Zea mays: one gene and its partners. The protein of the gene in region 4 binds, or shares a complex with, the protein of the main gene of each other region. Links are inferred from orthologs where the notes say so. Each region holds a gene or a part of one and is shown on either strand. Other genes may lie near its edges.

Region 1 (4,248 bases), on a different chromosome or scaffold from region 4:
ACCATCGTCAAAAACATGTGCCTTAGTTGCGTGTACTTACATCTGTCTGGCTTGCCATAGGCTTTCTCTCGATAGCAACATGCTCTCGAGTTTGTTTAGGTTTCATGTCACCAAATGGTCTCTGTTGAGCTGCCTTTACTGGTCTCCCCGGTCCAGATTCATAACTTGAGGGATTATTAGACTGCTTGTTGAGCGCACCGTGAGGTTTGGCTTGCAAACTTGAACTTTGGAGGGTTTGTGGGTTCGCTTGCCTCATTGGTGGCTCTTGCCTTGCCAGTTCTAGCCTCCTGGGTTGAACTCTTTCGACGACTCCAGGATAAGAGCGAGGTGGATCTTGCCTTGCAACCGTTGAATGGCTTGCAAGTCTCCCACCATTGTTACCCCTCTTGTTTCCAAGGCTCGGGTCATTACTATGTCTCAAATCTGGCACCGTATGCGCAACGTTAATAATCATCATAATGTTAAAACCAAGCAATAAGCATGGAAAATTAAGAACTGCTAAATTGCTGTACTCACTTCCATCTTCATCCATTTCGTCAAAGAACTTTAGGTTGGGGAGATGGGAGGAAAAACAACAGACACAGAGTCAGATTGTTGTTAAACACAAATCCCAATCAGATGGCAGGAATTAACTATATCAGTACCTCAGAGAGTTGAATAGAAGTGGTTTGGGTGGCAAAGAAGGCCCCTTCGTCCAAAGGTGGAGATGGAAGCCCTTCCTCTTCTTCATCCACAACAGAAGGATTTGAAGAGCCAGGGGAGTTCTCTACAGCACCAAAGAACAAATATCCATATTAAGCTAAGATGCCAGTCTTCATTTAGAAACTGTTAGATCAATTCAATTCAGTTACCTGTCAGGGCAGCATTTGTGGTACTGACCCATTCATCAACCAAAACTTTCCAACCTCTGAAACACACAAGGTAACCTCATATGTCAACAACATTTCCAAGAACGCTAGCAAGAAGGCACTTCCAATGATTATGTAGCTAATCTACAATTGGTTGGTTGATATTTGATCAGTGATTTTGGTCTGCTATTAAGCACTTTGAAAGCAACAGAGAAGTAGCACTAGGGACCAAAATTGACAGAAATGAAGATGGAACTTACTCAATGAGAGTGCACACGAGGTGCCGAATCTCTCGTGAGTTGTGTTTCCGCAGCCGATTAACAGCTCTTCCAATCTCAGTAGCCTGCAATGAACAGTCCTAAGATTAAGAAACCAAACAGCCAGAGCAAACAGGGATCAACACATCAAATAGCTCATATGTACGCAATATCCATTTTGTACCTTTAGCGTAGAGACGGACAATTGCATCAACTGCAGCCTCCTCAGTGAATCGAACAAAGTGGCATCCGACTGCAGGAACAACATGATTTAGCTCAGAGGAATTCGAAGTTTAAGGACCTTATAAATAAATGAAGAAACGAGGCAGTCTGCCAGTACATGGTCTTCCTTGTGCAGGAGGAGTTCCTTGATGCGGAGGACCTCGCCGACGATCTGTGACTCCTCATCGATCTCATTGGTGAGCGCCTCGAGCTCCTCAGCGTCGTGGTCTTCCTCCCCTTCTTCAGTATCATCCGCGGCATGCTGCTGCTCATCTTCCTCCTGTTGGTCGCCATCTTCGTCATCATCATCGTAGTTGTGGCCATAGTTGCTCGCTGCGGCGCGGCGGAGGCGCTCGTCGTCAGAGTCAGAATCATCGTCCTCATCGGCGTGGCCATGGCCATGGCCGCCGCCGCCGTGGGTACCGTTGCTGCTGCTGTCGACCTTGCACTCCTTCTCGGCGACGCGGCGCACGCTGCCCTTGTCCTCCTCAACGGGAGTGGCCGGGGTGGTGGACGCCGCGGCGCTGCCGAAGGACGGCGGCGCCGCGTCGCGGCGGAGCGCGGTGAAGAGCCTCTCAGCGATGCGGTCGCGGCGGTGCAGGAAGTCCCGCGGCGCGTCGGCCGCCGCCACGAGGATGGCGTTCTCGATGACGTCGCAGATGCCAGCGCCGGCGCCACGGAAGAAGCCGCGCCACCGATCCAGCCCGTCGGCCATCGCCGCGGCCGCCACCGGTCCCCGCCGGGCCACCGTCGCCAAGATCAGCCTCCCCCGACCGCGATTCTCAGCAGCGCAGCCAAGGGCCGATGCTCCCCCTTCCTGCTTCTATCTGCTACCAAATTACGCCGCGCGCACCGGCACCAGAACCAAGAACCCAATCTCTCCCGCCCGCCCAACGGCGAATCAGATTCCCCCGAATCGGGGCCGGGGCAGGGGCAGGGGCAGGGGCAGAGTCACCAGCCAACCGATCGAGAAAACAGCGGAGGAACAAGAGCAGGGCGAATCCGGAGGCGGAAGGGATCGATCGCGAAGGAAAAAAACTAGCAGCGTGACCTTCCTCGGGCCCCACGTCCCCGTTCCTTGTCGGTTTCAACAACCTCACCGGGAGGGAGTTCCAGCGCGGCGCGGAGGTAGCCTAACCAGAGCAAATCTTATCTGGACTGCCTGGCTGACCCCTAGAGCGGAAGGAAGCGGGGAGGAAACACAGGGAAGGTGAAGTTGAAGACAGGAAGGGGATGACGATGAGACGGGCGGATAGGGACGGGGAAGGCAGGGTGCGCACACCCACGAGACCTACGCGGCTACTACTACCAAACACCAGCAACAACTAGTCTTTCTCCCATGGCCCATGCCTCGCCACCACTAGCAGCTGCAATTGCGGTAACAAACTGCAATTTACCAGAAGAAGCGAGCGAAGGGCAGCAGGACTCGGCCGTACTCAACCCGCAGGAGATGGCGGAAATGCTACGGGAGATGGGTGAGACGCGGCGTGGCTGATTCTTGTTGCGGTCGACTCGGGCGTCGGGGGGCGCCCTTTCCGGTCTCTTTCCTTCTCTCTCTCTCTGTGTTGAGGAGCAGTGCTGCTAGGTTGATGATGCTCACTCACAAAGTCACAGGGTGGTTTTCCATCATGATTATTGTTTAGTTGCGTATAATCTGAACTATTTACTATTTGGTAAAGCATATCTCTCTCGGGCCATAATTGCAAAGTCATTTGCGTACCGACTACCGAGCACAAGTATTTTCAGCACTGCACACAGCGTGTCATGTCAAATGGATGGGATGCCCTCACAAGCTTTATCATATATTTTTATTCTGTTTTCTTCATGTCGTATTTCAATGTTTAATCATTAATTTTTTTAAAAAATCCATATAAAGTCGGAACATGTACAATGTGTGTTAAATAAAAAATTTATTGTAGTGAATTTAATACAGCTTGGTGCGTGGTACTTGTTCTAGTTGATAGGTTGAATGAGACAATAAAGACGTAATTCTATATGAAACAACTGACGAGACATGAATATAACTTTTGAAAAAAAATGCTTGTCGTTGTAGGCAACTGTTGTGCATTTGTTTTTTAAAAAAAGACGGAAGACGAGTTTTTTAACACAGTCGTGCGACGCGCTGCACCTAGTACAGAGCAGGCTCTCAAGGTGGCAAAATCGTAAGACACAAGAGGTCCGCGATGCTTTGCAATACATGAGATGAGGAGTCGAATGCTATACTATAGGTTTCGCAATACATGAGATGATAACCCATGGTCGCAAAAAAACAAGAACGATAAGAATGGGTGACGGTATAATAAGTAAGATTGAACGAAAAGAGCGAGAGAGATGGAAAGAAAAAGAAGAAAAAAATCCTCTCCGGAAATCTCGGGAAAAGAAAAAAAAATACTATAGCCATCAAAATCTTACACCAAACAATCTGATGAAACTATAATAAACAGCGAAAGAAATGCATCGTCTGTTTTTGCAGTGTTAGCATCTTGATCCGAGCATCCTGGCTTATTCCCACGCCGCGCATAGATACTCCCATTTCAAAAGTGGCATGTGTTTCATGCTTTTTGTTGAGAAGGAATTCCGTCTCTGTATTTTGTCCCCTGTGCACTGCGTGCGCATCTAGCGTCTCCCACCAGTAGTGTGGGACAGTGGCTGGCTAGGGTTGTTTCGAGGTTCTTTTTTTTATTTTCATTTTTTTTAAATTTTCTACAGTAGTATGACTTACGCGGGTGTTCCATTTTGGAGTGGCTGCTGGGGTAGCCGAAGGGCCAGTCGTGTGTCCTTTTCACTAGCAACCATATGCTGGCTTCGTGTAGCAGCAGAGATAGTAGGAAGGAAAAAGGAAATGGAAGAGTATATATTAAAAAAAAGATAGATCGATAGATAGAGAGAGAGAGAGAGAGGAAACAAAAAAACTTCACTTC
Region 2 (3,596 bases), on a different chromosome or scaffold from region 4:
CTGTCGCGGGCGTCGGTGGCCATGAACGCCTACTACCAGGCCCGGGGGAGGAACTCGTGGAACTGCTTCTTCAACGGCACCGGCATAATCACCATCACTGACCCCAGTGAGTGCTTCCTTGCTTGCTGTGAGTGTCTCATTGCCCGTGAACCGTGTTGGGGGAGCTGACACCGGATGATGGATCATTGGATCCTCTTGCAGGCCTTGGCACCTGCAAATATGCTTGACACGACGGGCTGCTCTGCTGCTGCTGTGCTCAACGGACGATGAATAAGGCTGTAGGGGAATGATGCATCTTTTCCTTCTCTTTGTTTTGTTATTGTGTCTGTGTGAGTGAGCAGGGAGTATCCTTGCAGAACCAACCAGTATCATGTCTGAGCACTGTAGAGAGAATTTCCGTGCTTTTATTTCCCAAATACAGTTCTACTCCAGGCCAGTGGCTGGAGGGGAGTTTAGGAACAGGTGTCAAAGGTCTCAGGTACTGAACAAATACCAAAATATAGAAGAAATCCCAGAGGAAGCCAGGTGCCAGATCCATTAAAAAGACCACCACAGTTCAAGCGTCAGTTCATACTAAAAACATTGCACCTTACAACCAAAGGTCAATCCTAATCCGGCAGATCAGAATGCCAGTACACAAAAGCTAAGTGCAATTATTGTTCACTAGTAGAGAATCTGAAAAGACGGAATATAAAGTTCTTACTGGCATTCATCCTCCACACTCCATCCACAGGAACAGTTTCTTTTCAGCAAACCTGCTATGGCAGACATTGGATTTACGTCAACACAATATCTTATGAGCTAGATCGGTTTCCAACACTTGATGCCAAATACATACAAAACCAAGAAGTAACTGTTGGAGCCAAATTAAAAGAGAAATTGACTTTGACAGTGCATTGATAAGTTGTAGGAAGAAATTCATCTCAACTTACATTAACGTAATTAATCTAGCTTCTTAAAATTTATGCAATTGTCTGTTGCTTCATTAAACAGCACCTCAACCTGCTTCAACTCCCTTTCTGTAACGCAATGACATCAGTAATTAGACATATAATAGTAAGAACTCTAGAAACAGTGGGGATCGTGTTACCGGCAGCTTCAAGTTGCTTCTGGAGCTCCAGTCCCACGACTTCATTCTCTGCCTGCAAATTTCAGATTTTCATACAGTTTATTTGGAGTAGGAGTTTGGCAGATGCCCATCCTGTGCTCGATGAATTAATCTGACTGTCTGATATCTACCTGTAGCTCTTGGATTCTTTTCACTTGATCCTCTTCTGATGATAGTGGCACTGCTGCAACAAGTGCATCAAACTGCATAGAAGGCCATAATTGTTCCTCATTTAAGGGGAAAAAGTTGGAACTGCAGCAAGCATAATTTGAACTAAAGTTTGCCAGTCTTTACATTTCAAGTTTTCAACCATGGTTAACACAAAGTGATCTCCCTCACTCCCTCCCTCCCGTATGCATCACTCTACGTCTGTACGCTGTTGTTGGGATAAACATCTTATCTTAGGAAATGGAGCAAGAGATGAAGATTCTACGTCTGTACGCTGTTGTTGGGATAAACATCTTATCTTATGAAATGGAGCAAGAGATGAAGACTCTACGTTATGTACATTGTTGGGATAAACATCTTATCTTATGTAATGGAGCAAGAGATGAAGATTGTTCTGTACACTGTTGGGATAAACATCTTATCTTATGCAATGGAGCAAGATATGAAGACTAGTAAGTGGCAACACGGTTTCATTGTTTGTCTCCACATAACGCGGGCAAGCAAGCAAAAATTAAACAGTTGGTCCTTCACTTATTCGCAGCATCAGACTTACGAGTAAAACTACGAAGCGAGCCGAAACTTTCTACTTAACCACACAAAGATATTTTGGAATCACCGGGCGGGCATTTGGTCCAGAAGATGGGGACACCGAGAAGAGAAGTGGGGCAGGGTACCTACCTTCTTGGCCGCGAGGACGAGGGCGCGGCTCATAGCCTTGGGTTGCTCGGTGAGGTCAGGCGCGGGCGGCTGCGCCTGCGCCTGCGCCTGCGCCGGTGGCGGCGGCGGCGCGCCGGGCTGGGCCTGGACCTGGGGTTTGGAGTCGTCCTCGGGCTTAGGGTTGGGGTTGAGCGGGTCAGGGTAGCTGCTGGAGAGGCGGTCCGGCGGCGCGTCCCTCTGCAGCGTGCCGAAGGTGTTGACGGCCAGCACGGCCATCTCGTCGAGCTGGTCCTGCAGCTGCGTGATGATGTCCATGCCGAATCCCCACCACTCTCTCCCTCTTCTCCTTCCTCCGTCCCAGACTTGCAGGACGGCGGCTTTATTGTAGCAGGCCGATTTCATCCAGGAATGGGTCTGCAGGATCCAGCCCACGTAGCATGGACCAGGCCGGATCTAAAAAATGTATGTGCCGGTATTCAAAAGATGCTCGCTCATATTCCTGGGATACCACCAAGTCTTCCGGTCACCACACATTTGCAGAATGCTGAGCCATCGGCAATTTTACCATTGTCATTTATAGGCTTCATTAATATGACGTCGGACCCTAAATTATAGACACAGATGATTCTATCAGTTATAGATATGGGATAATATAATAAAGTCAAAACTGAGAGTGACAAAATTATAAATTGTTTGGCACCAAAAGGAGCGCGGACGGAGGCCGGACAGTCCGCGGTCCGGACAGTCCGCGCCTGTGGGCCGGACGGTCCGTGCGTGCGCAGAGTAAATTAGGGTTCCGAGTTTTGTGCTATGTTTGTTAGCTAAAATCGCGGGAAAAGCTCGGAAATTAGTTTGTAAAGGGTCCAGCCCCCTCCTCTATAAATAGAGAGGTATACGGCCGATTTGTAATCATCAATCGAATCAATACAACTTATATTTCACATTTATTTCCTGTACAATTAGGAGTAGTTCTAGTCTAGTTCTAGTTTAGCCTCTCGATCCCCAAATCTTCCGCCTCTCCTCGACTCTACGTCGATTAGAGAAGTCTAGGTCAGTCTACCCGAGCCTAGACACCACCTAGGATCTCTCCTCCCCGACGGGGTCCCTCCCGGGAGCGAGATCCAGGCGCCGCCGGCGATCTCCCGCCGCCCCTGCGCACGCGCGGACCGTCCGGCCCTAGGGCGCGGACCATCCGGCCGTCAGGCAGGGAACCTTAGCTCCTGCGCCAGGTCGCGGACCGTCCGGCCCTGTGTCGCGGACCGTCCGCGCCTGACCAGAGAGCACCACCGCCTCGCGCCAAGTCGCGGACCGTCCGGTCCTGTGCCGCGGACCGTCCGCGCCTGACCAGAGAGCACCGCCGCTGGTTTTTTTAAGTGATTGGCGCCTCCAAAAAGGTGTCAACATACTTTTTGGCGACTCCGCTGGGGACACAAATATAGACGCATCAAATCGGCCCTCAATGGCCGGTTCAAGAGATAGCTCTAATATTTCCCCAAGCAACATCATAGAGCCGACTTAGGAGACCTTGCCGGCTGACGAACAGCTCCAGTTCGAGGAGCACAAGGAGCAGATGATCCAGGAGGCAAAAGCGAGGTTCTTGGCCAACTTCAAAGTGGACAGGAACAACAAAGTCGTCCGACATCGGGCGACAGATCCGGCTTCA
Region 3 (2,951 bases), on a different chromosome or scaffold from region 4:
CTGGGGGGCATTTACTAACCGGTTGCACTTGCTTGCAACAAACTCATCTACCTTGCAAAATTCAGCAATATCCTTGGAACCATTTCAGCATTTGATTCTAGGTGATTGTGATGCATATGGTGAAACTAAACATAATGTGCATAAAAGATTCCACCAAATAGTGGCTTCTAACCCTCTATCTTCACCAAATGGACGATGTCTTGGTGCTAGCTATTCTGCACTATGGATTCCTATTGATATGTATCTTGAGGATTGTCTCGATTGTTCAATTGCTGCAACAAATTCTATTGAGATTTTAAGTGGTAATGTCATTCATCAATAGAAACGAATTCATAGGTTACCTTGAAGGATGGATCCATTTCCTTTTTTTTTTTGCTTTGGGTTGCTGCTAATCTAAATGAGTGGAAATTGTAGGTTTGGTCAAGGCTCTTCAAGCAGTCAATAGGTCGACTTGGCATGATGCTTTCTTGGCCCTCTGGGTAGCTTCACTTCGCCTTGTACAAAGAGTGAGTCTTCGATCTTCACTACAGTTATTCAGATTTGAGACAACATTATAATATTTCACATCCTAATCTTTGGTCGTTTGAAACAAGCAGGAAAGAGAACCAATTGAAGGTCCTGTACCTCACCTAGACACCCGGCTGTGCATGTTGTTGTCTATCACAACACTTGCGATTGCTGACATAATTATGGAAGCAGATTCACTTTGCAATGAAACAGAACTCAACAGTCATGTGAATGAGAAGAAAGCAATTGGTAATCTACGCAATGAATTGATGCTAAGCTTACAGATACTTGGTGATTATGAAAGCTTGCTGGTTCCTCCTTCATGTGTCATCCCAGCAGCTAATCAAGCTGCTACTAAAGCTGCAATGTTCATTTCTGGAATCAGTATAAACAATGGCTACATGGATAATGTCAATGGGATGAACTATAGTATGTGGCTTCTCTTAAGATATTTTTTTTTACACATATAATTGACGTTCTAGATTGACCTTCTAGTGGATGTAAGGTAGTCTTAATATAAATCATGTTTTAATTTGTCAGCTGGAAATATGCGACATTTGATTGTGGAGTCATGTATCTCAAGGCAGTTGCTGGATACATCAGCTTACTATTGGCCTGGTTATATCATGAATCATGCCAACTCTACATCTCATACACTCCCTAGTCAACTTGCTGGTTGGTCATCCTTCATGAAGGGTGCACCACTGACTCAACCACTGGTTAATATGTTGGTATCAACTCCTGCTTCCAGGTGTGTACCCCCCTGTTTTATATATCAGCAGCGCTGTTCCCTGATTCATATCAAAAAAAAGTTTGATCATAATCAGCATAAGTCTTGCCTTATGGCTTTGTAATTGGTTTTTTTGTCTCTCCTTTAATAGTAAGGCATGTAGCTCTCCTGCCTTGTTCGAAAAAGGGGGGAAAGGCATGTAAATTCTATGTTTGTTTCCTCCAAAAAGAAACGAAAAAATCAAAATAAGAACTTGCATTGTAGAATGGTGTACATTAAAAAGATTGCACTAGAGCTGAGCTATTAATATTCCTATATCTCAATATTACCATATTTGTTAATTCTCGTACATCATTATGGTAATAAACACTGAATGAAGCTCATAAACTTGATGGAAGCTTGGCAGAGGTCGACAAGTTATTTGAAGTTGCAGTTGATGGGTCAGATGACGACAGCATTTCAGCTGCCACTGTTTTATGTGGAGCCACCCTTTTACGAGGTTGGAATTTTCAGGTTAGTAGGCTGCAATTTCTAGTGTTGGCTCTCCCTGAGAGATGAGCAATTCTATTAAGTTGCATGCACCAACCAGTTCAATCCAAAAGCTTAAGCTGATAGGAGGCGATTATGCACCAATCAGTTCAACCCAAAAGCTTAAGCTGATAGGAGACGGTGCACAATTGACTTCTATTATATTCCAACATTCTCCCTCACGTCGACCTCTCTTAGGTCTCATGCGTGGAATATGAGCGAACATTAATTATTTTATTTAATTGCGCTAGCCAAGATTTGAACTCATGACTCCTGGCTCTGATACCATATTAAGTTGCATGCACCAACCAGTTCAATTCAAAAGCTTAAGCTAATAGAAGGAGGACAACCCACTTATATTATATTCCAACAAAATCACTTATACTCCAACACCCCCCCCCCTCACATGGAGGCTTCCTCTGGCCTTAGACGTAGAATGGAGCAAGCACCATTATTTTATTTAATTGTGAAATTGTTCGCCTTTCCTATCAGCTTAACATTTTGGGTTGTATTTGTTGGTGCATGCAACTCAATATGGTACCATAGACAAAGATCTCGAGCTCGAATCCTGGTCAACAATTAAATAAAATAATTATCGCTTGCTCTTATTCCATGTCATTCCATGTCTGAGAGCCCCCCTCCACATGAGGGGAAGTGTTGGAGTATAAGAAAATTGTAGAGTGTTGGAGTCTAAATGGATTGCCCAGAGCGTTGGAGTATAAGTGAAATGTCACCTCTCCCCATCAAGTTAAGCTTTTGAGTTGTATCGGTTAGTGCATGCAACTCAATATTTAGGTCTATAGTATGACTAATACTGACCCTATCACCGATTAATTTCAAAAAATAACTATGTGCATGGTAGCATGCATTGCCTGTTTTTATTTTACTCGAGAATCAATGTAACATCTCGCTGTCCTGAGATAATTAATAGTCAAATGCTGTGGTTTCCTGCCTTGTAGGAGCATACAGTTCGGTTAGTTGTTAAACTGCTCTCACCATCTGATCCAATTGATAATTCTGGAAGAGAGAGCCAATTGATAAAGCTTGGTCCAATGCTCAATGTTATTCTTTCAGGAATATCGGCCGTGGACTATGCTCCAATCTTCTCGTTCCATGGCCTGGTATGGTTAGCAACTTAGCATAACCACCTACAATCCTACATTGATTTCCACTCAGAAGTCTATAT
Region 4 (3,500 bases):
TATATAATGTATACAAAGTGTTGTAACGCACGAGCAACTAATTAATGAACAGTTCAATTAATGGTGAGTTTGGTTTGTGGAGTCACCCTATGGTTCATGAGGTGATGCATGATGAATTCATAAAATAAATTTCAGTGGAATCAACTCGTTCCACATGTATATACTAATTATTAGCTTGTGAGGAATGGGGTGCGATGGATCAACTCATTATATTCCACAAACCAAATAAAAAAAGGAATGAGAAGATGGACCACCTCATTCCTGAAACCAAACACAGCCTACCGGGTTTGGTGACCAGGGAAACGGAGGGGGTCCATGGGGTGAATAGCAAGGGGGATTCCTCCCCATGGATCCCCTCCATTTCCCTGGTCACCAAATCAGCCCCACATAGAATCTGAGTAGCTGTCAATGCCATTGCATATTTAGATATTGTAGAGATGGAGCTAAAGATCAGATGAGACTAATGTTAGCTCATAGGAATGTCGCCTCTTAAAATGGCTTAAGGTCCTAATTGGTTGGGTTCTACAAACCAAATAAAAAAGTGAATGAGAAGATGGACCACCTCATTCCTGAAACCAAACACACCCTACTGGTTTGGTGACCAGGGAAATGGAGGGGATCCATGGGCCTTGCTATTCACCCCATGGATCACCTCCATTTCTCTGGTCACCAAATTAGCCCCACATAGAATCTGAGTAGCTGTCAATGCCATTGCATATTTAGATATTGTAGAGATGAAGCTGAAAATCAGATGAGACTAATGTTAGAAAATAGGAATTTCGCCTCTTAAAATGGCTTAAGGTCCCAATTGGTTGGGTTTTTCAACCTGCTTTGGCTTCCCAAAGAAGCCAGGGGTTGGTTTTCACCCAAATTCACAAACAAAAGAAGTTATTGACTAGTACTTCACCCGTCTTCATTCCAACTAATACTTCACCCGTCTTCATTCCAACTTTTCATGAAAATTACCCACCTGCTACTGGTTATGTTGTGTACCATTTCATTTGTTTTTCTCTATTACTTTCTCCATGAGAAAGAAAGTGTGGCCTCCACCACGTCATCGTCCTCGACATCCTCCACCACCACAGCATGTCATCCACAGCCCGAGGGCTCAACGACAACGACTGATGGGTGTGAACACATCCCCTCGCCCCTATCCTCCCCCCACCTACCCCTGACCTCTGCCTAGGAGGCCTCACCAGCGAGAGCCGGAGGACAGCGCCTCCACCCACCGCCCTCCTCTAATTGCCCCACCCCTAACCTCCACCTGGAAGGACTTGTCGGCGGGCGCACACCTCCCCCGTCCATGGCCTCTACCAGGAGGCCTCACCGACAGCGACGGGCGCACGCCACCCCTCGCCCTCTCCTTTCCCCGCCCCTATCCTCCAACATAGAGAACTTAATAGGTGCAAGCCTCCCTCCGCACCCGTCCTCTCCTCTCCCGACCGGTCGACCATGCCTTTGGCAGGGGAGCCTCCGCCACATGTGAGCGAGTGCATCCTGACTTCCTCACAGATGCAGCACTCCATCGCCGACCGTGGCTGCAAGGCCGACGCTCGTAGGCTGGCAGTTCCTCCCCAGGCATGGCCCTCGACGCCCCTCCCAGTGCACGAACTGGAAGGAAGAAGCTATCGAGCATAGTCCTCTTATTAGTGAGAGAGGGAGAGTTGAGTGGGGGAACTATGAATGACATGTGGGGTCCTCTCAATAGTTTCTCCAGAAGCTACACCTGTTCAACCAAACAGTTTTGACTTTTTCACATGCCAGACTCCAGCGTTTTCATGACCAACAGCTCACACGTGCTTTTTCAAAAGCCACAGCTCAACCAAACATGCCTAAAGACACAAGTTAACAATGAACCTCTAGCTAAAAGATTTGCATCATCAGACAAAAAACACCCAAATAAGACAAGCTATCCAAGGCAGATACCACGGAATAACAGAATCTAAAAAAGTTACACGAAAAGCAAACTGAATCTAAAAGGGAAGTAAAGAAGCGTACCACTATTCTGCACAGGGTTTTGATAGCAGAGACCGTCTGTCTCCTTTTAAGTTTTAACAGCAAATTACAAGGATTGGAGGTAGAGCTAGGAAGTGTTAACTAACTCCATTCCCCATCTCATCGGTTTTGGAGCTCTTGTGCTGCCGTAAGTTGACCATCCATGTTAAAAACAAAGAGGCAAATTTTCTCTATGAAAGCTATTGTATCAGCAAGAAAATAATAGCAGTGTGCTACCTTACTCTTCTTGTGCTTATGCACATCTACTGAATCTTCTGTTCCCTCATGCTTCCTCTTCTGATACAAATGGTGAGCATTGTCCATCAAAGGTATATATGGTTTAAAATGAAGCTATTCAGAGTTTTTGACCATACAGAAAATGGACTAACCTTTTCATGATGGCCACTTTTATCTTTTTTCTTATCCTTGTCTTTGTCTTTATCTTTGTCCTTACTCCGATCCTTATGCCGATGTTTGTGCTTCTTGTGTTCCTTGTCTTTGTCTTTGTGCCTTTTATGCTTCTTCTCTTTGTCCTTGGACTCACTTTTTGGTTTACCCGAAATAGTCGGTATACCTTTTTCAGTCTGTTGATATGGTATATGTTATAAACAGTACAATGAGCAAATCTAACAATGTCATAAGAGAAGTGAGATACTAGAAAGGATCTTACAGAAGGCAAATCCACAAGAGCTGTTTCTCGAAGTTGGAACGCTTGCCCCAGAGTTTCCATATCAAAGGGCTGAATATAAGCAGGTTTATCCCTCAGATATGCATTATGAACAAGTTGATCTAACTCCATTCCTTCTCCTTTGCGAATTTCAGTGTCTCCCACAACATTGTGAAGATAATGTGTATCTGATATTGCCAGCGGCAAAGGTTTCTTGCAAAAGAAATCATGGTGTGGCAGCAGTTTGTAGTGGCTGATCAAATCAACAGCACCAGTGAGCTCCCTTGGTCCTGAAATACAGAGATCGTATTATCAATCAACCACATAGCAGACAAATAAGGTTTCAGAAAAGATAGGTGCACTGATATATCTATGATACAAAATTTATTCTAGCATACAATAGACATTAGATGCAGTAATGCGGCTCATAAAACAACTTTGTGCACTATGACACAAAATATTAACCGTCCAAGTTCCAACTAACGCATTGTGAACTGTAAATAAGTAAATAAAACAGTTAAAATTTTGCCATTGTAAAAAGAACTGTAGTAAACAGCTGACTACAAGACATACTGGCCTCAACTGGCAAAACCGCAAAAGAATCAGCACCAGAAGTTTGTATTTAAAATTCCAAGCATATAATTATTACTAATTTTTTTGCAAACTAATGACGATAACTAATAATCAAGCAAGCTGTGATACTAATATAACTCTGTTGCTTTGTGCCCACATGAATTAGGATTTAGCATTTCAGATTTGCATACTGAATAATTGGCATATAAGGGGAACTGGGAAACATAGGGATCACAAATAATACTTACCTGCTTCCATCAAACAG
Region 5 (4,269 bases), on a different chromosome or scaffold from region 4:
TATCAACACCATGGGAAGATGACTGATGTCATAAAAACAGAATGAACCAAAGAGGTTTTCAATTCAAAAGAGTGATAACAATAGAAGATAGACCCTTTCTAATATCATAATAATAACTCAGTTATAACAGAAACCTGAATCTGATTTCCCTGGCTGTTGACACTATTAGGTGCAAATGTTGACATATTTTTGGGATAACTACCTGCAAATACAAATAGAAATTAGATGTGCATTTGTCAAATACATCTCCAATGCAAATGCCAAAGAGTTAAGCATACAAGGAACTTCTACGGCACAAATCTCCCATTAATATGGCAAATGTTAAACATATAAGGAACTTTTACAGCACATATCTCAATGCAAATGGTCGTGATTTTAGCAATTGAGGATAAACACTAATCCTAGCACAATAGGAGTTCGGTCTATAGCGCATGAAAATGAGACAATCGACAGATGTTAAAACTCAAAACGAGGAGAGGTTCATTAAGAGAGTTTAGATACACAAGAAAATCTACATACCAGAACTATCACCAAAATTTTGTGCACCGTCTCCTAAAGGAAGCACTTCTATCAGATGGATAGGAAGAGATTGTGGATGCCTCTGATCTCCAGGTACCCGTAATCCTGGCATTCAGATAATTTTAGTAAGGCTATAAGTATTGAAATTGTAACACAAAATAGAAGTAAAAAGGACTCTTTATTTTGGAAATCTAATTGCATTTTTTATTAATATTGACCAAGCACTATGCCTTTCACCTTCACCATAATTTACTGCTGCTCTAAGTAGGCCTTCCTGCTCCTGTATCTTTGCAGCTTGTGCTTTGTCCAATGTAGGACCAAGATTTGTCCCCTGACGGCTTCCCAGCCCATAGCTCTTACGGCATTCTGCAATTACTTTCTCAGCAGTTTCGCATGCACTCCCAATCATGTCTATTCTAACCTGAAAGGGATGGTACCAGGTTCATTCTAATTAATAGATAGCCGATAAATCAAGCTAGCAACACATGCTATAGGTTTTCATTTTTCATACTAAATTGGTCACCTTTAATTTTTCAATCTGTGTAGGCACAGGTAGATTAGTTATTCCAGACAATAGTTGCTCTCTCTTAGTAGTTTCCTCAACTTCCATCTCAGGCAGCAGTTTTGACGACAGCATTACAGGTAGTACTGCAATATTCATAAGGATTATACTGCAACTCTAATAATAAATAACTGTACAAACCATTGATAGTATGCAAAATGGGAACACTAGATGACAATGCATCAGAACAATTAGAATGACCATTTCCAATACATTTTTGTTGGGTCATTTGCACTGTGTTTATTTATCTCAGAATAGCTTGCCATGAAATTAAGGCCATGGCTAGTAGAAAACTTCAAAAGTCTGAAACCTAATTCAGAATTTTGATTAGTGGACAACTGGAAATAAACATCAGTTGACAGTAAGAAAAATCTTAGATTGAATCTTCATGTGTAATAAAACTTGTGAGAAGACCCCAAAGAAACGGCACAGCAAAGTATTAGCCCAACTGGTCATACTTGTAGTCATCATTCATCCTTACTTTAGAAACAAAATCATAGGGTTTTTTTCTAAAAATATATGGAAGCATAAATGAATCGTATAATCTCATCATGTGTTGAAAATCATAATCTCATTAGGTGTTCACCAATACTGGACCATGAACAACGAAAGACTATTTAGTGTTGGGTCAAATAAGGGAAAATGTTTGATGGATTCCTTTGGACTCAATACAGTTGGTTACATAGCAAAACTTCAACACATAAACTGAGCAAATTTTCATATCAGATAATTTCTTCCCAAATTACATGCTTCCATTGATAATCTTTCAGAGAGGTTGTTGTTCATGTCTTGATTGAACCAACCAAACTTTTACAAACAAGGGCAAAGAACTCTTAATGTCTTTGGAAATTGTTGTCCCTGAACTGGAGATGATTTATTTCATGACTGAATCAGTAAACCATGCAACTAGAACATAACCAACAGATGTTAAACTCCCCTATGTTAGATCAACTAAATATTAATTATGATTTCTAAGAAAACAAATACCATTACGTGATAACCAAATTGACACAGATAACAAAAGATATATGCATATCCATAAAGGGGAAAAAACTCAGAACGGCATACTTGTTGCATTCTCGGCATTGACATTCCGGGGGTACACGACAAACACCTTGGACACATTCTTAATGTCCTCCACAATGTTGAAGAGCTCCATGCTCACCATCGAGAACTGCCCGAGCACGTCCTGCCTGCAATTCACCCAGAGGCAGCCATACCATACCAGTAAGCAATCGCGCAGCGACGCCACACGAGCAGAGGCATCCTAATTAAACCCTAGAATCCACTGCTGCCAGCCATCAGCCGATAGCCAATAAGAGGGGCGGGGCTGGGGATGAAGTTACCACTTGGGGGAGGCGCTGGGATTGGTGCGTATGATGACGTCAAAGTCCTCGAGGATGCGGGAGATGGCCTTGTACAGCCCCACCGCGCGCGCGCGCATCCCCTCCAGGTTCAACTGCTGCTGCACCCCCGCGCTGAGCCGCTCAACCCGGGGAGCTGCCTGCTGGTCCCCTGCGGCTGCGCCCGGAGGTGGCGCGCCAGCGGCGGGTACTGCACCTAGCGCGGCCGCCGCGGGGTCCATCGCCGGAAACTTGCGTTGGGGGCGGTGGCGTTGCGGCGGAATGAAAGGGGGTGGCCGGAGGCGGACTAATGGAGGATGTTTTCAGATCGTTATGGCGGTACCACCAGTTTGCGTGTCTGGCTCAGACTGACATGTGAGGGCCGGGGGACAGTCAAGTCAATTCTCTGCACTCGACAAAACATGTGTCCAGAATCCAAAAGTTCATAATGCAGAGTTCAAAATTTGGAGAAGTCCTAACAAAATGTATACCTAGATGAGATGAGCATACAGAGTCGTCATATATTAAACTATTTTTTATTTAACTAAACTTAGAGTTAATATACTTATACAAAAAGAGACGGTGGTATTTACACCATTAAATTGGTATCACTAAATATGTGTTTTTTGTGTCATCCTCACGAGTATACTGCCTGCAGCATGCTTCAAACTTTACAGAATTTGATGGCACGTACGCCTCCTAGTTCACACAGAGGAGCTGGGGCTAATTAAAGCCAACCTACAAGCAAACGGACTTTACAATGATAGTGTAGCCGATGCCTGATGATGCTAAGTTTGTTTAGCAGTTTAACAGGTATAGATGTCTATATTGGCCGGACAGCCAAATTTATCCGAAGCCTGGTACCAACCCGGCACGGCTCGCTGCGCATCGAGCTCGGGACAGCCCGGCACGGTGGACGTGTCGTGCTTGGGCTTTGAGGCCGGCACGTCGTGCTCGGCCCGACCCAGCACGAAAATGAGCCAGACACGGCGTCTGTCCGTTCCACGCCGCATAACACACATCGGCCCTGCCCCATGACGCACCCCCCCGGCATTCGCTCGCTCGAAACCCTAAACCTAATCCCCTCCCCTTCTCCCGTGGCTCCTACCTCTTGCTCCTTGGTGACCGACGAAATCTCGCCTCTCCCGCCGACGGCTACTGGTGACGGCTACCAGCGACGGCTTGTTTGGACATCTATACTCTCCTCATCTCTTCGCTCATCATCTTCCCTTCCTCACACCCGAATCCCAATAGAGTAATCCCCATCCTCGGCTCCTGACATCCTCTTAGCAGAGGTGTTCCTCCTCGCGGTGGTGCTCTCAAGGCGACTAAGGTGCTCCGGCTGCGCAGGTTATGTCCTGAACCCTAATCTCCATCCCCTTCTCTTGTGTATTAGATCTTGATTGGAATCCCATGGATGTGATGAATCTCCTAGGTATCGCTTGTGTCGGTGCCACGTAGCTGTCCAGGGACCCCAGTCGTCGGCGAGGAGCCATCTGTCTACGGCATGGACGATGACCTTCATCCGACCGTTGTGGACGAGGAGCACCGGCTAGAATATCATAACAAAGCAGAGGATGCCCGGATCCTATTTGGCAGTAGTGTTGCCATCAACATCGATAATGATGATGATGTCCCTGGTGCCGCCACCGGTGGTCAAGCGGGCACAGGATCCACGAGCCCGACACCGACCGGCACAAGCACCGCCGCCACCAGTTCCAGTAAGTGTCCTCTCAGATCTAAAGTGTGGCATGACTTTGATGAACCGACTCACCTTGTCAATGGTAAGATGGTATGGTATGGAGCCATTTGTAAGTACTGCAAGGTGACTTTAAGTGGTAAATC
Region 6 (4,287 bases), about 55 Mb from region 4:
AGAAAGAAGAAACAACAAATTTAGGCATCGAAGTATATTAGGGGAGTAACCAGGATTCTCTAATAAAGAACTCGTCAAGGAACTATGAACCCAGACTTGACAGCAAAAGGTAAAGCGACCATAACCATACTCACCTTGTACCAATCACCATCGAGACCTGTTCTCCACACAGCCGTGACAACATCTCTTCGAGATCCCATGACACCTAGATAACCTCCAAGACCTACAGATGTTTTCAGACCAAATGCAGCATCTCTTTCAGATAACCTACGCTTTCTTGGCCAAAGATCAATCCCAATGGAACTGACAGCATCCACTTCCATGTCAGACAAATGAGAGTTGATGGAACCACTAATTTTTAGACGAGGCATATTGTCCAATGGACCAAAATCATCTGGTTCTGACCAGGGTCCACCAAACATGTTGCGTCTATGCCATTCTTCCGCAGGAGGTTGCAGTTCTAATTCTCGAAGTAGAAGTCCAGCAGCATCAGCTCCTCGTGGACGAGGCATATTCTACAGAGTTACAGACATAGGAAACAATGAAATATTGAAAATAGATGGGGAAGTAGGCATCGAGGGATCACTCAAAATGCCATGTCTAAGGCCCTGGCAGTAATAGTGCATGTTTCTATAAAAAATGGCTAATACAAAAAAGATAACTTCTGCTAAGAGAATCCTAATCAACATTTAAAGGTGGTCGTCCTGAATTCAGTTCGAAACAGGAAGACTTGCAATATCTCTGAGTCGTGCACTTGAAAATCAACTTCTACTCCTATAATTGATAGATGTTGGTAGCTCAAAATGGCCACAAATAGTACGAAAGCGACCATTAGAAACTTCCATGAGAATTTGACTAGTACCTGCATATGGGGACCAAGAGACGCTTCCACTACCTCAGGGAGCACTGTGTAGTTGCCGTCAATGTAGTGCAGCCTTATGATAATGCTACTGGAACCAACCTGAGAGGCAGGCAATGGATGCGGCAAGGTAGATGTCCTTCGACATAGGTCAACCAGTATAAGAAAAAGGACCTTGACCTACCAACAATGAAATAAAATTACAGAGATAATTAGATAAACTAGACAAAAAGAAATCTTCCAAAGAATAGAAAGACAGATCTGTAAAGCATCTGATAAATCACTCAATAGAGATCATGAACGACATATGCAATCAAACTGTTGTTCATGCTAGGCTGGACAAAATTTTAAACTGCTTAAATCAAGGGTCCAAAATAACCTACATACGCAATTGCACTCTATGATGGCTATATCGACATGTGTTCTCCCATAGCAACCAAAGCTAGACATTTCCAAAGAAATGCAGGAGCCAAAACATAGTTGTTTCCAAACTAATCACTATGTTCAGGACTTCAGGTCACCAGTTTTCCAGCGCATTTGGCACATCGTCAGCTTCTTCACACTAACTCCCAAAGTTCAAATGCCAACGATCAGTCCCAGTTTGGTAGCACTAACTCCCAAAGTTTCCTTAGTATAACTCAATATTAAACTCTGTAAAAAATACTATATCTTGTCAAGAATTTGATAATCACCTCATCTGAAGTATAACCTTGCCCAGCGTTGCCAGAACCTATTCTAACAGATTTGCCAATTGGATTTTCTTCAGGACCCTTTGCACCACCAAGAACAAATTGTCCACCACGCGCAGAGTGACCTTCTTCTACTTTGGCAGCCCCTAGACCAGATCTTACTGTCGAACTGTTATCTTCTGTCTTAGCATTCATCATGTGTTGTATTTTCTGCATGGCAGAATCTTGATTTTTTTGCGAACTGGCAAGTAACCTTGGTGATTGCCTTCTTCGGAAAAGCAGACAAAATAGCAGTAATTGACATAATCTATGAAGAAAATGGCAATCCCCAATAAGTCTCACAGCAGGTGTGCCAGGGAAAGTGCCCGTATTAATGCTGATGGGCATAAATGATGTCCTCGTGCTCATTGGATTCTGTGTTGCAGTGGCAGCACCATCAGAATTGTTACTAATCTTAGCAATTGCACCTTGGACCCACTCCTGCATTTGTGAGTTCCCTGTTGCAGATGTTGATCCCCCTTGATTACCTGAAATTTGAAGGAGCATCAAGATGCTAGCAGCACTAAATAAACAACACTTTAAGCCTCAAATTTGCAATGAAGAAAACATAAGGTTTGGATGTACTTTTTTGCGCACAAACAAGAGAAAAACACAAGATTTAGCAAGCTAGCAGGCATAGCTAACCTTGATTATTTGATGGCGAAGGAGAACTGTTTGTTGGACTTGTAACCATATTTCTAGAAGTGCCTGTGGTAGAAGATGGCCCCACATGGCTCGCCAGAGTTCGACAGAAACTCGCATAACGCCGCAAGCGAGTTATGAAATGTGATGCTAAATCAAGAACAGCATCAACGTAACCCTGCATTTGAATGCAAATAAAATAAGCTATTTCCTAGTAACATAAAGAATCCCTATGCAGATAACCTGTGCTGAAATTTATACAATACTCAACATTAAAAGGCTGTAATACACCAGTTTTGGCAAAGGATAACAGACATTGCACATGAGTTCACCAACATAACTAAAGTACCGTTTACATGGAAGTGATCTAGCATACCAATATACTGCTCACTACTTTATAAAATGAAAAAAAACGGCTCAGTAGCAAGTCTTAAAAGAATAAAGTCAGTAAAAAGAAAGAAAGAATGTTAGATAGCTGAATTTAAGTTCCATGGCTATGAAATAGAAACAACTTGCATAAAGGAGACAGCTTGACCTGGATGTTTGGAAGCAGAGCTGGCTCAACAGTCATTTTGTCAGCATCGATGCTGGATAACATATCACTGGAAGCTTGCCAGGGCTCAGGTAGCAGAGTTGATGGATTTGTAAGGGCAGACTCGATTCCTTTGCCTAGCATATCCAGAAGTAATCTTGCTTGCATGTCCAACACAAGTGCCCGTACATCTTGGGCATTTGTTCCTTCCAACAACCTACACTTAATCCTATCAAGGTTCTGCATGTACAATTGTACATTCATTAATCATAAAAGGAAGAAAGGTAGTAAATCAAACATTGAAGCCAAAAAGGTATAAAATATGAAATATCACCCAAAATTCCAACTGTCATATTAACTCATCACAACCCAAAATATCATATGAATCAGCTGTCCAGCCAGTCAATTAATTTAGAGACACCTGCTGAGATGCCAATGATTTTCAACCCAAAGGCAAACAGCCACTGGAAAAGTTTCTAGCATCATTTTGCGGTTAAAATAAAAAAATGCCACTGTTGTAAATGCCCATTAAAATGTACAATTTACACATACTTGTGGCCAGGGGCGGCCCCGGTCCAATAATACTTATATCATATCATAATTTTAGTCCATAAAATCCAACAAAAATAGGTAACAGCCTTCCATCTAACCGTGGCATCTAGCACCCGCACCCGATCTCGTCCACGCAGCCATGTCGCCACAGCACACCAGCACCAAACAGTAGTGCCGCACACACGCGCGCCTGGCCCCCATCCGTGCCATAACACTGCAGTAGTGCCAGTGCCGCATCACAAAGCCTGACGGGCAGCGCACTGTGCACCCACGCCGCCACGCAGGACACGGCCACGGACCAGCGTGCATGGCCGACACACCTGCAGCAGCTAGCAGCGTGTAGGCGCCCAGCAGCCAGCACAAGGTGCAGGCCAGCGCAAGGCGCACGCTGCAGCCAGCACAAGATTTTGAAACGTTTTTAAGGCATAAGAACTCGAAAGATAAATTTACGTTGCAACCGTAATTCATGAGGCTATGGCCAGCAGATCGTGCATATGACCGTGTAAAACATTGTTTTACACTGTAGAATGCACTATTTATAGAGTGGGGTTTGAAATATGAGATGAGGATGAGTAAGCTGATGGAGATATCTTGAGCGGTATATATTGAGTATTGTATTTATAGATTTCGTACCTACTTATTTTGTCTACATGTGTCTTGAAGATTTGAATTATACTTGTTACTTTGTTATATTAAACATTGATATATCATTTAGTTCAGCCTAAAAAAACTAACCTTCTTTTAGCAGCCCCTCCTTTGATCCATTCCTGGATCCACCACTGCCTGTGGCAGCAGAACATTAACAGTTCTATATTTGAAGAAAACAGTATATTGATCTGTGTTATGCTATAATTCACTTTAAAATCCAAAGCTATGCCAGTAGATAGACATGAATGTATATTTGGTTATAGCAATATCAAAATGAACCATATTCACTGAAAGCGTATGAACACCATCCACACTGTAGTCTAATA
Region 7 (3,500 bases), on a different chromosome or scaffold from region 4:
ATATTCTGATCATTTCTTCTGCTATCAGGTTGATACCACAAGAAAGATAATTTCATTCCACAAAGAAGACAAAAGCCTTGACGCCAATAATATTGGCCCTCAAAGTATTCTTCTTGATTTCATCAGTAGTAGTCAGACTCTGCGCATTTGGTCTTTCAACACTTCGATTAGAGAACATTTGAACAGTGATCAGCTTCAAAAAGGAAAACAGATTGACGAATGGTGGAAACAGATGATGAAAGGTACTTGCTTACTCTGGAAGCACCATTGTGATTTTGGTATATAGATGACCTTGTAGATCCAGAATTCATGGAAGGAAATTTGACGTCGTAGATAGGCAATATGTCACCAGTTGACCACAGAAAAGAATCTTCAAGGAGAAGAATTCTTGCTCTTTTCAACGCATAGTAATACTAGAGTTTAGAGTTCATTTTGTGCATTTGCAATTTTCTGGAGTGACATTTGTGATTACACAAAATGTTACGCCTTGCATTCTTTTGTGTGTCTGTGATTAATATCAAAGCTACCATTTCTTCCTTCAAATAATAGCTTCTGGTGAGAGGATGATAGACTTTACGAACTTGGACGAACGAGCAACAGGCATGTTCTGGGTTCTCTCCTTCACCATGGCGCAACCAGCTTGTGAAGCAGTAATGAATTGGTTTACGTCAGCTGGAATGGCAGATTTAATTCAAGGGCCTAATATGCAGCCAAGTGAAAGAATAATGATGATGCGTGAAACTTACCCTCTGTCAATGTCATTGCTTTCTGGCTTGTCTATCAATCTTTGTCTGAAGCTTGCTTACCAGCTTGAAGAGACCATATTTCTTGGCCAGGTAGAAACACCAAGCATGAACTGATGATAAGACCTAAGTTTATTCCTTCTATTTGTCTATTTTTTAGTCCATGCTATCCTTTTAGTGTTCATGTGGATCTAAGTAACATGCACTTGTTTCAATATTTACAACAAGGACATGATTTGATATGATTGCAATATCACATGATTCTATCAAAAATAGTTAAATTTGTGTTATGTCTAAATTACCACGTGTTTCCTTGACATTATGTAAAGTGAATATTTATATGTTATGAAATCATTCGTAGTCTTCAGTAAGTAAAATTTTCTAGTAGTATCTATACACCTTGACAACTGTATGTTTGTCAGCAAGTATTGACCCTTTCTTTCTTTTGGTAGGCTGTCCCTAGCATTGCTATGGTGGAAACCTATGTGAGGTTACTGCTTATAGCACCCCATTCATTGTTTCGTCCCCATTTTACGGTAAGTTCTTATGTTATGTGTTGAACTATGCTACTGGTACAGAGCAGCATGTCATTATGCAACCCTGAATATTTATTTTTGTCTGGTTTCTGAATTATGACTTTGTGCAATGTAAAAGTTTCATTTTCAAAACTACATACAAGACACAGTGATGGAAATTCTGATGTCTGCACATTATTTTATTAAACTTTGCAGGCATTAACCCAAAGATCTCCATCTATTTTGAGCAAATCTGGTGTGTCATTGCTCCTACTTGAGATACTAAATTACAGATTGCTGCCTTTGTATAGGTATCTATAATTTACTATGTAATTTCTTCCCTCTTTGTCTGATAGGAAATCCTAATTTATCAAACATATCATATTCCCACCTTTCCATGAATATTTCTTTTTCCCTTGGGTAGGAGGGACACCATGTTTTGCACTTCTTTCACATGAAAATGTGCGAGACCTTGTTTTCCATTTGTTTTTGTTGAAAATTTGCAATCTTTCCTTTAGAACAACAACAAAACCTTTTTTTTTTTTTTGGGAAAACGCAGGAGAACTGCGCCTCAATATATTAAGAAGAAGAGATAAATCCAGATCAAAGAGATCTGGACAAATTACAAGGCCTCCTCATGGGGGCCAGAAACACAGCAAACTGAAAAAATCCATCAAACTAAACAACTCCCTAGTCTCCAGGAATTAGGGCAGCAAGGTATGAAAGACCCTTAGCCCCAGCCATCTCCCAAGACTGCCTCTCCTCCCTGGCTAAATTAATGGACAGATCTAAACTAGGAGTACAACCATCGAAAACACAACTATTACGATGCTTCCAGGTTATCCAAGCTCCTAAGGCCACAAGAGAATTAAGACCTTTACCACGGATACCAGAAGCCAACCCAGAAATCTGCTCCCACCAAGCCATAAAAGAAGAATGCCCAGGCTGGGGAGCCAGTCTCTGAAACCCAAACGGTTTAAGCCTTTTGGTTCAAGAACATTGGGGTAGGCTAATATTCTTTCCTTCTATTAATTATTATTCATAATTTTCTGTGCACCAATGTGTTGTTCAGGTATCATGGTAAAAGCAAGGCGTTGATGTATGATGTCACAAAGATAATATCAATGATTAAGGGTAAACGTGGAGAACATCGTCTTTTTCGATTAGCAGAAAATTTGTGCATGAATTTGATTCTCTCACTGAAAGACTTCTTTTTTGTGAAAAAGGAATTGAAGGTAATGAGTGTACTTTCTTGCCTTTGGAAATCTGACACTCACCAGATCATATTAAAATGAACTTTTACATGTATTTAATCCAGGGCCCGACTGAGTTTACTGAAACTCTAAACCGCATAACAATAATAAGTCTTGCAATCACTATCAAGACGCGTGGAATTGCTGAAGTTGAACACATGATTTATCTTCAACCATTGTTAGAGCAAATTATGGCAACCAGTCAGCATACCTGGTCAGAAAAGACACTGCGTTATTTTCCTCCTCTCATTCGTGATTTTTTAATGGGGAGAGTGGATAAGAGGGGTCTAGCTATCCAAGCATGGCAGCAGGTATTGTTTTTACCTTTAGGACTGGGTGTTTGACTACTTGTATGTTTCCTTCAACACTTCTACTTTCTACCATTTATGTATTCCACATACATTTGGTTAGCTTTTAGTTGCTTGGAACCTAAATTGTTTTCTTCAACATTTCAACCAAGCCATACCTCAATTGCCAGCCCAATATCCTTACGCCAGCAGCCAGCCTAGTTGTCACTCTTCCCTGATCAGACAACTAATTGCGATAAAGTCAATGACTTGAAACCTAATTCAACTAATTGGGTCGGTGGATTTGATAGTCGTTGTCAATGGGCGGGAGGGAGGTTTAAAACTTATCAGATCTCCAAAAATATTTTTTTTTTCATTTTTTTAGTATAGTACTGTTTATTGTGTCCTTAAATTGCTACCACATGTTTATCAGTGAAGTTTTTGGGGCAGGCTGCATCATTCTTTGTCTTTTGTATTGATATATTCCCTTTTTCTTCAGGCAGAAACGACTGTTATTAACCAATGTAATCAGCTGCTCTCACCATCTGCTGAGCCAAACTATGTCATGACTTATTTGAGCCACAGTTTCCCTCAGCATCGTCAATATCTTTGTGCTGGTGCTTGGATGCTGATGAATGGACATCTTGAGATCAACAGTGCAAATCTTGTATGTTTTAATTATTCTTTTATTGTGGATGTCAT

What was found.
Region 1: Probable mediator of RNA polymerase II transcription subunit 19b (region 4) and Probable mediator of RNA polymerase II transcription subunit 26b share a complex: the UniProt entries of both Arabidopsis thaliana proteins name them as parts of the mediator complex. The link is inferred for Zea mays from reciprocal best matches to the Arabidopsis thaliana genes AT5G19480 and AT5G05140.
Region 2: Probable mediator of RNA polymerase II transcription subunit 19b (region 4) and Mediator of RNA polymerase II transcription subunit 21 share a complex: the UniProt entries of both Arabidopsis thaliana proteins name them as parts of the mediator complex. The link is inferred for Zea mays from reciprocal best matches to the Arabidopsis thaliana genes AT5G19480 and MED21.
Region 3: Probable mediator of RNA polymerase II transcription subunit 19b (region 4) and Mediator of RNA polymerase II transcription subunit 33A share a complex: the UniProt entries of both Arabidopsis thaliana proteins name them as parts of the mediator complex. The link is inferred for Zea mays from reciprocal best matches to the Arabidopsis thaliana genes AT5G19480 and RFR1.
Region 5: Probable mediator of RNA polymerase II transcription subunit 19b (region 4) and mediator of RNA polymerase II transcription subunit 8 share a complex: the UniProt entries of both Arabidopsis thaliana proteins name them as parts of the mediator complex. The link is inferred for Zea mays from reciprocal best matches to the Arabidopsis thaliana genes AT5G19480 and MED8.
Region 6: Probable mediator of RNA polymerase II transcription subunit 19b (region 4) and uncharacterized protein LOC100216950 share a complex: the UniProt entries of both Arabidopsis thaliana proteins name them as parts of the mediator complex. The link is inferred for Zea mays from reciprocal best matches to the Arabidopsis thaliana genes AT5G19480 and SFR6.
Region 7: Probable mediator of RNA polymerase II transcription subunit 19b (region 4) and Mediator of RNA polymerase II transcription subunit 23 share a complex: the UniProt entries of both Arabidopsis thaliana proteins name them as parts of the mediator complex. The link is inferred for Zea mays from reciprocal best matches to the Arabidopsis thaliana genes AT5G19480 and AT1G23230.

What each region holds. Positions count from the first base shown.
Region 1 is NC_050103.1:106,778,687-106,782,934, reverse strand, and holds the start of Probable mediator of RNA polymerase II transcription subunit 26b, read right to left. Parts: upstream 2,801-4,248; 5' UTR 2,043-2,800; coding exon 1,446-2,042; intron 1,359-1,445; coding exon 1,290-1,358; intron 1,192-1,289; coding exon 1,109-1,191; intron 908-1,108; coding exon 852-907; intron 767-851; coding exon 645-766; intron 545-644; coding exon 517-544; intron 424-516; coding exon 41-423; intron 1-40. UniProt on the Arabidopsis thaliana protein: Component of the Mediator complex, a coactivator involved in the regulated transcription of nearly all RNA polymerase II-dependent genes.
Region 2 is NC_050099.1:37,999,011-38,002,606, reverse strand, and holds Mediator of RNA polymerase II transcription subunit 21, read right to left. Parts: upstream 2,249-3,596; coding exon 1,955-2,248; intron 1,312-1,954; coding exon 1,240-1,311; intron 1,143-1,239; coding exon 1,091-1,142; intron 1,020-1,090; coding exon 943-1,019; 3' UTR 933-942; intron 759-932; exon of another isoform or gene 756-758; 3' UTR 501-755; downstream 1-500. Other genes in the region: putative X8 domain containing family protein isoform 1 precursor, read left to right, coding at 1-106, 202-227. UniProt on the Arabidopsis thaliana protein: Component of the Mediator complex, a coactivator involved in the regulated transcription of nearly all RNA polymerase II-dependent genes.
Region 3 is NC_050097.1:165,231,155-165,234,105, reverse strand, and holds part of Mediator of RNA polymerase II transcription subunit 33A, read left to right. Parts: coding exon 1-302; intron 303-414; coding exon 415-506; intron 507-596; coding exon 597-936; intron 937-1,047; coding exon 1,048-1,258; intron 1,259-1,635; coding exon 1,636-1,750; intron 1,751-2,724; coding exon 2,725-2,886; intron 2,887-2,951. UniProt on the Arabidopsis thaliana protein: Component of the Mediator complex, a coactivator involved in the regulated transcription of nearly all RNA polymerase II-dependent genes.
Region 4 is NC_050096.1:177,740,554-177,744,053, reverse strand, and holds part of Probable mediator of RNA polymerase II transcription subunit 19b, read right to left. Parts: intron 2,953-3,500; coding exon 2,666-2,952; intron 2,580-2,665; coding exon 2,385-2,579; intron 2,293-2,384; coding exon 2,233-2,292; intron 2,139-2,232; coding exon of another isoform or gene 2,094-2,138; exon of another isoform or gene 1,853-2,093; intron 741-1,852; exon of another isoform or gene 1-740. UniProt on the Arabidopsis thaliana protein: Component of the Mediator complex, a coactivator involved in the regulated transcription of nearly all RNA polymerase II-dependent genes.
Region 5 is NC_050102.1:151,801,048-151,805,316, forward strand, and holds the start of mediator of RNA polymerase II transcription subunit 8, read right to left. Parts: upstream 2,801-4,269; 5' UTR 2,667-2,800; coding exon 2,428-2,666; intron 2,275-2,427; coding exon 2,150-2,274; intron 1,168-2,149; coding exon 1,043-1,167; intron 941-1,042; coding exon 757-940; intron 625-756; coding exon 520-624; intron 203-519; coding exon 135-202; intron 1-134. UniProt on the Arabidopsis thaliana protein: Component of the Mediator complex, a coactivator involved in the regulated transcription of nearly all RNA polymerase II-dependent genes.
Region 6 is NC_050096.1:232,623,766-232,628,052, forward strand, and holds the start of uncharacterized protein LOC100216950, read right to left. Parts: upstream 2,801-4,287; coding exon 2,765-2,800; intron 2,408-2,764; coding exon 2,233-2,407; intron 2,076-2,232; coding exon 1,552-2,075; intron 1,040-1,551; coding exon 863-1,039; intron 516-862; coding exon 135-515; intron 1-134. UniProt on the Arabidopsis thaliana protein: Component of the Mediator complex, a coactivator involved in the regulated transcription of nearly all RNA polymerase II-dependent genes.
Region 7 is NC_050100.1:213,173,174-213,176,673, reverse strand, and holds part of Mediator of RNA polymerase II transcription subunit 23, read left to right. Parts: intron 1-28; coding exon 29-242; intron 243-549; coding exon 550-836; intron 837-1,195; coding exon 1,196-1,279; intron 1,280-1,474; coding exon 1,475-1,569; intron 1,570-2,330; coding exon 2,331-2,493; intron 2,494-2,576; coding exon 2,577-2,822; intron 2,823-3,297; coding exon 3,298-3,465; intron 3,466-3,500. UniProt on the Arabidopsis thaliana protein: Component of the Mediator complex, a coactivator involved in the regulated transcription of nearly all RNA polymerase II-dependent genes.